3 linked regions of the Tribolium castaneum genome follow. The protein of the gene in region 2 interacts with the protein of the main gene of each other region in a pairwise test. Links are inferred from orthologs where the notes say so. Each region holds a gene or a part of one and is shown on either strand. Other genes may lie near its edges.

The links.
Region 1: the proteins of Mer (region 2) and wts interact in binary tests that used the Drosophila melanogaster proteins (3 or more experiments, as listed by UniProt). The link is inferred for Tribolium castaneum from reciprocal best matches to the Drosophila melanogaster genes Mer and wts.
Region 3: the proteins of Mer (region 2) and sav interact in a two-hybrid assay, tested with the Drosophila melanogaster proteins (2 studies listed by BioGRID). The link is inferred for Tribolium castaneum from reciprocal best matches to the Drosophila melanogaster genes Mer and sav.

Annotation. Positions count from the first base shown.
Region 1 is NC_087397.1:10,568,361-10,572,716, reverse strand, and holds the start of wts (serine/threonine-protein kinase Warts), read left to right. Parts: upstream 1-1,547; 5' UTR 1,548-1,859; intron 1,860-3,987; 5' UTR 3,988-4,145; coding exon 4,146-4,356. Other genes in the region: protein NDUFAF4 homolog, read right to left, coding at 88-245, 293-515, 564-652, 701-845. UniProt on the Drosophila melanogaster protein: Negative regulator of Yorkie (Yki) in the Hippo/SWH (Sav/Wts/Hpo) signaling pathway that plays a pivotal role in organ size control and tumor suppression by restricting proliferation and promoting apoptosis.
Region 2 is NC_087401.1:7,792,623-7,796,806, reverse strand, and holds the start of Mer (merlin), read right to left. Parts: upstream 2,823-4,184; 5' UTR 2,703-2,822; coding exon 2,604-2,702; intron 2,553-2,603; coding exon 2,423-2,552; intron 2,376-2,422; coding exon 2,164-2,375; intron 2,119-2,163; coding exon 1,681-2,118; intron 1,634-1,680; coding exon 1,397-1,633; intron 1-1,396. UniProt on the Drosophila melanogaster protein: Regulator of the Hippo/SWH (Sav/Wts/Hpo) signaling pathway, a signaling pathway that plays a pivotal role in organ size control and tumor suppression by restricting proliferation and promoting apoptosis.
Region 3 is NC_087396.1:21,519,465-21,523,126, reverse strand, and holds sav (protein salvador homolog 1), read right to left. Parts: upstream 2,402-3,662; 5' UTR 2,357-2,401; coding exon 2,266-2,356; intron 2,214-2,265; coding exon 1,894-2,213; intron 1,842-1,893; coding exon 1,601-1,841; intron 1,457-1,600; coding exon 1,276-1,456; intron 1,228-1,275; coding exon 1,046-1,227; intron 978-1,045; coding exon 778-977; 3' UTR 736-777; coding exon of another isoform or gene 611-735; 3' UTR 574-610; downstream 1-573. Other genes in the region: uncharacterized protein LOC659596, read left to right, coding at 343-559, 611-735; solute carrier family 25 member 45, read left to right, coding at 2,454-2,502, 3,379-3,662. UniProt on the Drosophila melanogaster protein: Plays a key role in the Hippo/SWH (Sav/Wts/Hpo) signaling pathway, a signaling pathway that plays a pivotal role in organ size control and tumor suppression by restricting proliferation and promoting apoptosis.

The sequences.
Region 1 (4,356 bases), on a different chromosome or scaffold from region 2:
GATAAAGTAGCGTAACTACTTTTAAGTTTTTTATTTTTTTTTGCTATAAATAAACTATTTAAATTGAACTAAATTTCAGTTACATTGTCAGGTATCCCCCTTGTCTTCTTTCCCAGGTAACAGTTGTTTTCTAAGTTTTGGCATGACTCTAATTCTGGGTACACTAGGCCCAGCAAACTTGGCTTTAACTCTTCTTTGTTCAGGAATATAGACTTCAAAAACTTTATAATATTTTAAAACATTTTCTGCAACAGATCATTGGCTATATTGGCTTAAAACAATGGAAAATTACTTGTTATTTCTTCGGGTAATTTATACTCCTTAGAAATAGCTTCAACACTATGTAGTCTACGATCGTGTTGGTGGTCTGTCACAAACTTAAGGACTTGTTTTAGTGAGGCCCTCCCTTCTGGAATTTTTTCAGGTTCTTTAACCCCATATTCAAAATCCTCAACTTGTTGCCTGTTAAGAGGAAGAGGTCTGTTGGGGTTTATTTTCTGTTCTTGCACCGGATTCTAAAAAAATATTTGCAAATTTGACGTTTTTTTTTTTAATTTACTTACAGGGTCATGTGAGGTCACATAAACATCTTTTAAGTAGTTATCCAACTGTTGGTGTTTTTTCTGGCCTTCCCTAAATTCTTCAGGATACTCTTCAAGAATATTACATTACTCAAGCCCTTTCGAATAAACAAACTCACCTCTCATTAATCTTTCATAATCTAGTTGATCACTTTTGTGTTTGGGAGCTGGAGTTGGCTTATCTTTGGATATAATTTTGTGTGCTCTACTCTCGATGTTAAAAGTCCGAAAAGGACGACCCATTAAAGACATGACTTTTCCCATTTTCGGCTTAAAAATTGAGTTGAGGTTAGGTGTAACCTCAATTCTAAAACTTCTTGATGTGACAGTTGACGAAAATTGAAGAAGGACCTCACGTATCCAGTTTTAATTATTTAAGGATACTTGTTTATTTCATAAAAATTGTGTTATATCATAATTTTTATTTTTCTATTCCACACATACTCGGTCACATTGCTGAAACAAAGACAGATTGACGGAGAAAGACAAAGATAAAACGCCTATTATGACCTTTTTTTTGATTTTTAAATCTGTAAATATTTTAAATCAGGGGCGTAGAGACTGAAACTATCAAATACCATGCATGTTTATTTTGCATCTGGGCAGATGTTTAAATTATGTAACTTTAGCACAATTTAAGTTAGCATTTTACTTTTCAAATCATTTATATTAGATCTAAAAAAAAGCTCACAAAAGAAATAATAATTTCTAATTTGAACACCTTTGATACGCTTATGGAACAAACGCTATCTCCATTGTCGCAAGCAGCGCGCATAGCTGCCAAATTGAGAAAACGGAGGGAACTAGGCGTCACATTATTTTCAACTAAAAATGGACGAAACAAGGCATTAATAAATACTCAGCTGGAAAAAATGGGATGTTTTATAATTTCCAAGTAATTGTCTGGGTGCAGACACGATTCGTGAGCTAAAGCAATGGCATTTAGTTCTAAATAAATAGTTTTCTAAGGTTGGCAGATTCTGGAATTTGACACTGTGTAAGATGGCTGGTATCTGAATCTTGGTAAATTGTCTTTGTTTTCATTACAGATTTAAGTGCCTTAAAAAGTGATTTAGCTTTAAATAACCGTACAGTTGAATGTAATTAAAAGTTTATTGTGTGGTGCGTGCGACGTAGCGTAGTGTAGAAGCCCTATGATGGAAATAATGTGTTAAGTGTTCATAAATTCCTCCACATAGAATGAGATAGATTGACAATTGACACTTCAAAATCTGTCAGTTCTTGCAGCAGATTCCATTTGTTTTAGAAGAATAAAAGGTAATTGTTGGCTAGGTTGTTTAAATAAATTTATCCTTGATGAGATGAATTGGTGTTAGACAGTAACAGATTAGATGTCACGCACAATGCCAAAGAATGTATGACTGGAATGCCGTGCGAGTGAGACATTTGATTGTAATTTGGCACATAGCTCTACTAGCGCCTGAAGCACTGTATCCCATACACTATGACAGATGCTATGCCTAATCTTTACACCGATTTATTCCCATTTTAGCCTACGCTTTAATCCACACCAAACGCCCCCTGATTTGTCTCAACTAACGCACAAAATTCGCTTCTCTTCCTAATCTCCGCAGCTAATTGTCATAGTTGCAGCTTTTTATGAAAGCAAATCACCAAACTGGACCATAAGAATGTAAATTAATCAATTAAAACATGCCATACAAAGACACAACCACTCCAATTATTCCTCGGAGACTTCTTCATTTAGCAACTAGGAGCGATTTTGGTGTTTATTAAAATAAAAACAATCCAAATGCAAATGTAATTGAGGTCACATTTAGAACATTTTTTCAGTAATAATTATTTGAAAGTGATTTTCACGGGTGCATAAAAAATTGCAATTGTGCACGCTTATTGGTAAGCGACCTTTTTTACCGCTCGTTATTGGTGCTCATTACGTAATGAATTAACAAGAAATTGACATCAATGGTTAAAATCTAGCAGAGTGTAAAATCACGATTTGTGAGAGCTGAATGAATTCATTATTATTATTAAATACCGACTGGCGACTGCATATTTTGTGGTTTATGCGTTTTTTAAATAGTTTTCTAAAAATATTTATATACAGTGTCAGTGTTAATATAATTTTATTTGAGATCAAAAGTTTTACCACAAAGGAAGAATCTCGTTTATCAAAAAATTCCACTAAACTTTTGTCATAACTTGAAGTTTTACGGCTGCAATAATAAAACCGCACACATCCGATTCGAAGCCGAAATTTTTCCACGGCAAAATGGATTATTTAAGAAGTCCAAGGATCAAGAAAAATGTTGATTAATTTATCTGTTTTTTGCTTTCCGTTAGTGCAGATCTTGTAAATCTTTATCGTGTCTCAAAATGATTTATAAAATGTACCGGTTGCATTAAATGAGTAACTCCAAATATCACAGCGCTTTAGAAATTCGTTGGAATTTCAAGCATCTATTCCTCTTGAGTAATTTGGAATTATCAAAACAGGTCACAGTATGAGAGCTCGTTATGGACGTATTAAATTTTCACTCGACGATTTGATAAAATTCGTGTCAAATTATTGATAAAAACGTAACCGTATTTTTTTAGATTGAAATAAAGCGACAATGTCTGTGTTCGCACTTCCCTGTAAAAACGAAAACGTCATTTTCACGTGCATCTTCGAGGATCCACGGCACATTAACAAAGCAGTGAAGCATGATTTATGCGTTCATGAATATTTCCATTCTTCATTGAAGTTTTGCAAAGCTTAATCGTGCGGTTACCTGTTGTTATTTTTTAAATTTAAATTAGGCGAAATTATGCAGAAAGCTACCAAATTTAACAACATTTTATATTTTGCAATGTGCAGAGCGACGTTTCACATCGCACTAGAAATCAACTCATACTCTTATTTTCGGAGTTGGAGATTTTTGCAGAATTCTCCTTGAATTGGAAGGTGTCTAGGGATACAACGCTGAAATCTCTATTTTAAGAAAAATCAGTTTAAAGTTGAGGGTTAACTTGCATAAAAAATTATTTTAAAAAAGTTGTAATTTTATTCTATGTATTTTTTTCACATAAAGAAATAAACATAGTTTTCTGGTTCATTGAGGGTTCATTGTTGTTTTATTAAACACCTTATAAACTTGACTGGATAGTTTGAAAAAAAAAAAGAAATTCATTAAGTCATTAATTTAATTTCCAATTAAATGCGTGATTAACTGATCACGTGACCAAATTGACGCAATTTGGTTGGTCCATTCGCGTTGTTAACTTTTACCAACTAATTAAATTTTAACGTAGCTTTCTGTAAACCGGCCCTTAAATTTTTTTTTATTATTTTTATAAGGGGGTAACTTGTTACAGCGGGGGCAAATGCCTACTCCTTGACTGCTAGTGTTTTTATTTTTGAATATTTTGTTTTTGATTGCAGTCGTGAAGTCGCGAACGATCGAATCCACTGCAAGAATCGTCAGGAGTGCGTCAAAACTCGTCTTCCAATGTAATGCAAAATGTATGAATGGGCGTAATTGTAGTGCATACTCATGTGCGGGGAGCCATGTGAATCGCTAGTGAGTGGCAGGGCCCAGCATGGGCCAACAGCCTCGGCCCCAACTGAACATGAATCCCAGCGCGCCAGCCCGCTCGCCGGGCTACCACCAAAAGGCCATGGAGGAGATCCAGAACTCGCTGCGCCCGTTCGCAAAGAGCGGCGGCGAGGCCGTGGGCTCCAGTGCGGCCAGCACCATTTCGAATTTCTCCGCCACAAGCGGAGTGAGCTCGCTGAGCTCGACGTCCGGCA
Region 2 (4,184 bases):
ACACTTAAGATTGTCACTCCAATGAACTCCTTCCAAGTTAATTCACATAACAGGACAGTTCTTAATATTATACAGAGTGTATTAGAAATACCTGTTTTAGTTTTAACACGTAATAAAACTCATGAAATACAACTTTTCTATATAACATTTTGCAAAATTCTTCTTTATAATTTTTAATGTTTTCCTCCATTTTCGGTCAGTGTTTAATAATTAGTTTGTCCGTTTCTGGCACAACGAAAATAGTTGGGCTCTAACTTTTGTTGGGTTCACGTTTCAGTATGTTATCTTTTTCCAAATTTTAAATAAATTTGCAAATTTTTTATTAAAAGATTACAAATAGAATAGTATATTACGAGTTTTATAAGACGCATGCACAGATTTGGAGTAAGTGCGACATCAGTATGTTTTTTTTATGTTATATCCATGAAAATTGGTATTTAAGCTTTTGGTTAAAGATCAAAAACAAATGTTTTAGGATTTTTGGAAATTCCATCCCTAAGACTCGTTATTTCAGTTAAATTTAAAGTCAAAATCCTCAGAGTCAAGTTAATTCGAAGTTGGAAATATGTTTTTTGATTTTAATCTGAAGTTTATATTTAATTCGACATTGTTTAAAAACCGTTTAAAAACGAACTAAATCGATCGAAACAGCCCACTTTTTGAGTCGATTTAGCAAAATCAAAAACGTTCTTCCAAAACGTTAAAAAAACAAAAATTAATACAGATTTCGACATAATTTACTGCTCTTTGTTTTTTCTGTTTTATACATTTTTATGTAAAGGTATTTTTAAAGGCCCTAAAATAACTTATTAGAATTATTATTATAAAACAACAAAATCATTTTCGATCAAATTTGAGCTGTTTTATTAATATTGCGAAAAAAACTGGGTTTTTCAATTAAAAATTCAGATAAACGTTTGAAAGAGGCAAAAAGATAGTAATTTTCTATCTAAATTAATGATTTTTCAGCTTTAAATCTTGCAAAAAAACAAGTAGAAAATCCATTCGCAAGGGGGTTTCCTATAAAAATCCGTAATTTTTGTAAGTAGAACTTGAAAAAACAATGAAACACCATTTTCATTTTTAACCGAAAACTCAAATAACGATTTTCATGGGTATAACTTAAAAAAAATACAGATTTTTATACAAAATTTAACCCCCTTGGGGGTGGAATTCTTATAAAGCACAAAACCTCCTTAAAGAATGATTTTTCAAAACAATCATCTACTGTTCAATTTAATCAATTAACTTATTACAGCTAATAAAACATAATTAATTACAATGTAAATGAAAAAAAGTAATGCGATTACGTTGTAATTAGATTATTGATTTAACTACATTATAATCTGTTTATGCCCAACTCTGTAAGAGGGGCTTTCGGCCAATCAAAACTTACCAGAGCTTCATTAGCCAATCGGATTTCCTCCTGGTACTGGAGCAGGCGCTGTTCCATATTGGCCCTTTCACGCTCCGCCTCCTCTCTCAATTGTTTTTCACGTGCCAGACGATTTCGTTCAATCTGCCGACGTTGTTTCTCTTCTTTGGCGGCGGCTTTCATTTGTTGGAGTTCCATAGAATCGGGTTTACGCCTCCGCATGAATAAATCATGGTTACCCATGCACAAATCAAGAATCTGAAACATTTGTTTTAACCACGCCCCCTCAGACCACACCCACTTACCAATTTATTCATTCTAACTTTTTGGCTAAAGAAGACAAAATTTGGGGAATTCTTATCGACCGGTTTGATAATAAATTTTTTATCGTCAAAACTAATGTGTCGTATTTCGGCCCATGTGAACGTCGTTTTTGGTTGTAGTTTATTTTCCTTTTCGTAGATGTTTAATCCTAGAGGTGTTACACCTAACCACAACTCAGTCTCTTTTTTATTCATTATCGGAAAATAATTAACACCGTACATGTCCAAGTCTTGTGCGATTTTTAAATACTCCATCTCGGCTTCGTCTCGCGACATACCCCTGTGATCTGAGTACCACACTCTTATCCGCTCCTCCCACATGTCTAGAGTCATCTGATACTGGTCGATGACTCTTTGGGGCAACAAATCCTCGTTCGCTAACATTCCCGGTTTGTACGTATCTAGGTCAAAGTCTCCAAACTGGGGGCTGTTAGACAGGGGGAACATTAACCTCAAACTATTTACCTTGGCTTGGACCGCGTAACTGGCTAGCAGGACGGACGCCTCAGGGGGGCAGTACACATCCATAGAGAGAATAGCTTGCTTAACTTGGAGAAAAAAATAGTGTTTTGTTACCTCTTGAACCAGCTCTTCGGCCACTTCTTCGGGGTAGAATTTCGCGAAAAACATGAACGACACCGTACTGTGGGGGTCCTTCTGGATGCTCTGGTCTTGGACTGAAACACACACATGATTTTGGGGGCCCTCTCAGCACCAGACCCACCTTTCTTGTCCAATTTTAACCAATTGATAAACCCTTTTGAATCTTCGTATTGCAAACCGAAATACCAAGTCTCGCGTAACCCGATTGTGCGGCACACTAGCTCGAATAAATCCCTGCCGGTGGCTCGCCACTACAATGCGAAAATTATTCACAGTTTGGAGAATTGAGACGGTAAACATACTTGTAAGTTGAACTCCAATTCGGCGTCCAATGTGCACACTTTCACGGGGAAACTCTTCTCGGATTTCTTTTTGCGAAATGGAGACATTTTTTCTAACATAATCCTCGCTTTTGTAAAACCTATCGCATTATTCAACCGTAAAATAACAACAACAAATAAGGCACAAACATCTCGGTTATGGCATTGACAGATGTCAATTCGGAATACCAACACAATGGCGGGAAATTACTAGGACTTTCGGGCGATGGGGCCCCAGGAAAGGGCTCAAGTGGGCGGTTTCAATCTATATCTTAATGTTTGTAACGCTAAATGTTATATAATGCTCCTGTCGGTTTTATTTTAGTTTAATCACAAAAGTCTAGAGGAAAATTTGGCCGGTAAAACAGATCTCCGATAAGCTTCTTGTCTTTTGAATAAATTGTAAAACCAAAAATTGCTTTTCTTGCTTTTTAATAAAAATTTAATCAGGAATAGGTCTTGATAATTTTATTTTTGACTATGAGGCTTAATTTTTGTTCGGTTTCATTGAGTATTTAGCTCAAAAACGTGTTTGAAATAAAAGTATAGCTTTTTTCGATTCAGTTCGGTGATTTCATGGTTCACGAAATAATTGCATTTCTGGGTGAAAAAGTGGAAAAATTAACTCATTTTCGATCAAATTCAGAACATGTTTAACTCGATTTACGCTAATATCGAAAAAAAAAACGCGTTTTATCTCAAAACTTGCTTAAACTCTCAAAAAATGTGACAAATTATAATATTTGTGTTAATTTTTCGATTTATTTTTGAGGAAATTTCTCAAAACCATTGGGTTTTTGTTTGAAAACGTGTAATATCATGTGAAAACCCAATCGTTTAGCTCAAAAACATGCTTAAACACTTTAAAAATGCGATCATTGTGTTCATTTTTTTAATTTTTCCGTATATTTTTGAAAAAATTTCTTAAAACAATTTGGTATTTGTTTGAATAACGTGTAATACATGCGAAAGGCCGAATTTTTTGCCCAAACACGTGCTTATGCGCTCGAAAAATGCGCTATTTGTGTTAATTTTTTTAATTTTTGAGGAAATTTCTCAAAACTACTGGATTTTTGTTTAAACAAAGTGTAATAATATCATGCGAACGGCCGAGTTTTTAAGTCATAAACGTGCTTAAACGCTCAAAATATGTGATACTTGTGTTCATTTTTAAATTAATTTTTGAAGAAATTTCTCAAAACAGTTGGGTTTCTTTTTGAACAACGTATAATCTCGAGAAAATCCGAGTTTTTATCTTGAAAAAATGCTCAAAAATTCAGCGTTTTTTGGATAATTTTTAAAAATTAATTGATTTTTAGTTTACAAACATGCATAATACAACAATAACACCATTTCCGATTAATTTGGGCAATTTTTTGGTTTTATTTGACGACTTTTCACGAAATAATTGGCCTTATAGACGCGGAAGTGGTAAAATAAATTTATTTTCGATCAAATATTGTGAATTTTTAGTTTAGTTTAACAGACAGGGTGTGGCGTCTAAACCCACATTAGAAGTAATGGTAGTTCTAATAATGATAGTCATCTGAAAATTTGTATATC
Region 3 (3,662 bases), on a different chromosome or scaffold from region 2:
ATGAAACTGGGCCGCAAACTCCACCCGTTCTACTCACATTTGGGTCCGTTGCGCCGAAATTACTTATTCATAGTATTTTAATTGACTGTGACACGAAAATTTCACTTCGAATTTTGATACTTTTTAAAGGGACGCCATTTTGTTTATTTTTTCAAATCGCGGCCGGTAAAGTAGGGCCCGAAACTGCCATCTAACCTCTAATTTTATGGCAAAAACCCGGGATTATCACTAGAACGAACCGCTGGAATCGCCCAAAAAAACACTAAACGCGTCAAGAGTTCGCCCCAAACCACTCCACGACGTGTTATTTCTCGCCGATTTTGCGTGTTACATAACCCCAAAATGTCGCTCTTCAACCCCCGTTGGTTGCGTAATTTTATCAGAAGACACACGAATCAGATCCCTGAGCAGCGGGCCCACGTGTGGAAACAGCGCCTTTCCATATTCTACATGTTAACCGCGTGGAACGCCTTCGGCTTCGTCCTTTACCAGGTGTACCAAGGCAATGCAGACTGGGCCCGCAAGTACAAATCGGAGGAAGAATTGTCCCTATCCCCAGGTAAAATGAGACACTTGTTAATAAAAATAAAGCGTTTATTCGTGTCTTTAGCACAACAATGGGCTCGAACTTTAGGCATTAAGGACGCAAAAGTGATACAAGTCTCAGGCCTGCAAGTCACTAACTATGACATCCATAACGAGTTTGATGAAGCGTCTGAAGCGATACAAGAATAAATAATCACATTTCTTAGTTAATAAAATACAAAAAGGAACATTTTATTGACCAGTCACAGCCCCATTTCTACTATTCCTAAACTTCTCCATTTCGACAAGCAATGCGGACCTGTAGGTCTCGTACCGCATCACAATGTTCTGCAGTTCCTGCTTATAAAGCCGCGTCAGCATGCCGTTGTAACAGTCCAGGTCTTGCAACCGGAACATGTCCCACTTTAATTTGTGGTCCAGATCCGGACTCGCTAAAATAAACACCAAAAAAATCGGTTACACTCACAATTAACACAGCAAAAATTAATTGTGGTTTTACCATTGAAATAGACGTTAAGCCAATGGGGAATCTCCTCTAACAAGTAGGGATTTGCCGGCACCAGGACGCTGTGAGGCTGATAATGTGTCGTTCTTGGGGGGTTGAAATACCGCACCTCGGGCTGATAATTATAGCAAGGCACTAGACAAGGGTGCTCGTATTGAGCTTGTTTCGTAATGTGACTACAATTAAATTATTTGGATTTGAGTCTAACTGGGGGAAAAACCCACTTGACGTAATAAATGCCGTAAATGGGGGAATGGACACATTGCCATCCTGTGGGAAGCCCCTCGCGCTCCAGGGGGTGCGACCAATGGGTGGTTTTGGTATTGTGGTCGATGTAGTACTTACGACCACGGAGGGTGTAGTCCACGGACCAGCCGGGCGGAAGCGGAAGCTCTTCAGACTGATCTAAAAACAAGCGCCTAACTATGCAAATAATTGATTGTTAAAAATCAAACAAATTTTTAAAAATAATCAAAGCAAGAACGTCTAAGTGCCGTAATAATGATTAATTGACACAACGAGCTAGGCAACCAGTTGTACACCCAATACCTGTACTGCTTTCATTGCGCCCCAGCGAGTGTCTCAAATGGTGGGCGAGCGATTCACCATAAGTCATCCCTTGCAGAGGATTAGAGTAGCGCTCGGCCCCCGTATTGCTATAAATGGGGGTCGTGTCTTGACTCTTATGGGCCCCATCAGTGTTCTGATAAATCGGCGAACTTCTGCTATTATAATTATTATCCTGCGTAGTGAGTGGATAAATTTGATCAATTTCGACGTAATTGGCGTTCTGGAAGCGACAAATTCAATTAAAAAACCCACTTCAAGGGGGCTTGAACCACCGAATTGTCACTGTATGACGAACTGATGTGTTGGTTCATGTAAATGTGTTGTGGGGCCACTGATGAGCTTGGCGTGTAAAGGGAATTGTTTTCGTTTGTGGACAGATTGGCAAACCTGGTGGCCAAATCCGGGACTGAGGAGCTGGGTGTGTACTTCCCCTGGTGCGCCCCCAGGCCAGAGCTGATGATGGTTTTTTGGTTCCCGAATTTCTGGACGGTGATGCTGCTCTGGTTGGCCCCCCGTGTGAGGCTGGCGGGGAGCGACTGACGGCCCTGGTTCGAGAGGCGTCTTTTTGGTTCGGTTGTCCAAACGTTAATGACTGCGAAAAATTTGATGTGAGGTTAGGTCCAACTTGTCAAAAAATCGCTCACTTGGCATTTCGGGCGGGGTGTCTTTTTTCACGTATTTGCCGACCACCCCTTCCTTGATCGTTTTCAAATCTTTGTTTTTGCGCGATAGCATGGTCAGCAGGTGTGCAAATTGCGGGCTATTTTCGGCTGAAAATTGAGGGCCAGTCGATGAGGGTTTGCGACGGCGGCTGGCGGAGGCGTCTCAAGCGATGGATGGGACGTTCAAGTTCGCCGATTTCATTGCAGGATGGTTCGGAGGTACTCTATGTCTTGTCATGGGGAAAAACACTTGTAAACACTGCATTTTGGTCACAACAGAAATTCCATTGTTTACAAATTCACATCACCAGATTAGGGGCATGCGCGATGGACGTTTTAGCGACATTCCAGCGTGTATTCATTGTTGTCTACGGTTAGGGGGCCACGCGTGGCTGGGGCCCTCTTTTAGGCTGGTTTTTGTAAATGACGATTACAAAACATGCAAACTTTGGTCATTATCTCGAAAACTAGCAGTGATAAATGAAAACTGATTACATATTTGGAATCCTTAGACAAATCAAATTCCGGTCAAGTCGTTGATTTTTCCGACTACGAAAAATTATCCTAACTATAAATTACATGTCATAATTTTTTTAAGCACAGACTAACTAGTGTAGGAAATAATTTTTCATTGCATCTGAGAAAATTTCGGAAATAAACATTCACCCTGTATACGGAAAAGGTAAAAATATGTTCTCTAACGAACGCTAGTTGAAGCTAACTAGGCTAACTTTTCACACAAAACCCCAAAAAATTATAATAAAATTTCGAAATGTTGGGTCGCTTCCAAGAGGTCGGGTATTTACCCGGCGCCTCCACCATTATGTCATGAAGAATTCGTTAACTGTGAATTTGTACCATTTCGGAACTGATTAAGTTCATGAAAATTGGTACAGGCACGTAATTTCAACTGCTTTTTAAGAAATCGGGCCTCAAAAATACGAGGGGGCTCTTAATTGAATTATATTTTTTTAAATATTACGTTTATTCTGAGATGGAAATTGCATTTAAACAACTACTGAAATGTTATAGAATCAACATTACAACTGTGCCACTGTGTGGGTCATTCTGGAAATAAAAAATCCCGAATTTCAGGCATCTGTGGGGTGGTGGTGGGCCACCCCCTCGACACGATCAAAGTGCGCCAACAGAACTTCGGCACGAAGCTGTTCGTTGCCATTTCGCGCACATTCCGGCACGAGGGAATCCCCGGCTTCTTCAAAGGAATGCTATGTCCTGTACTTACCATCGGCCCCTCGAACGCCATTCTTTTCGGCGTTTACGGCAACTTAATGAACGTCTTCAACGAAAACTACGTACCTCGCCAAGTCTCGCACACCGACTTCGATGCCCTAAGACACGTTTTCATCGCCGGGACA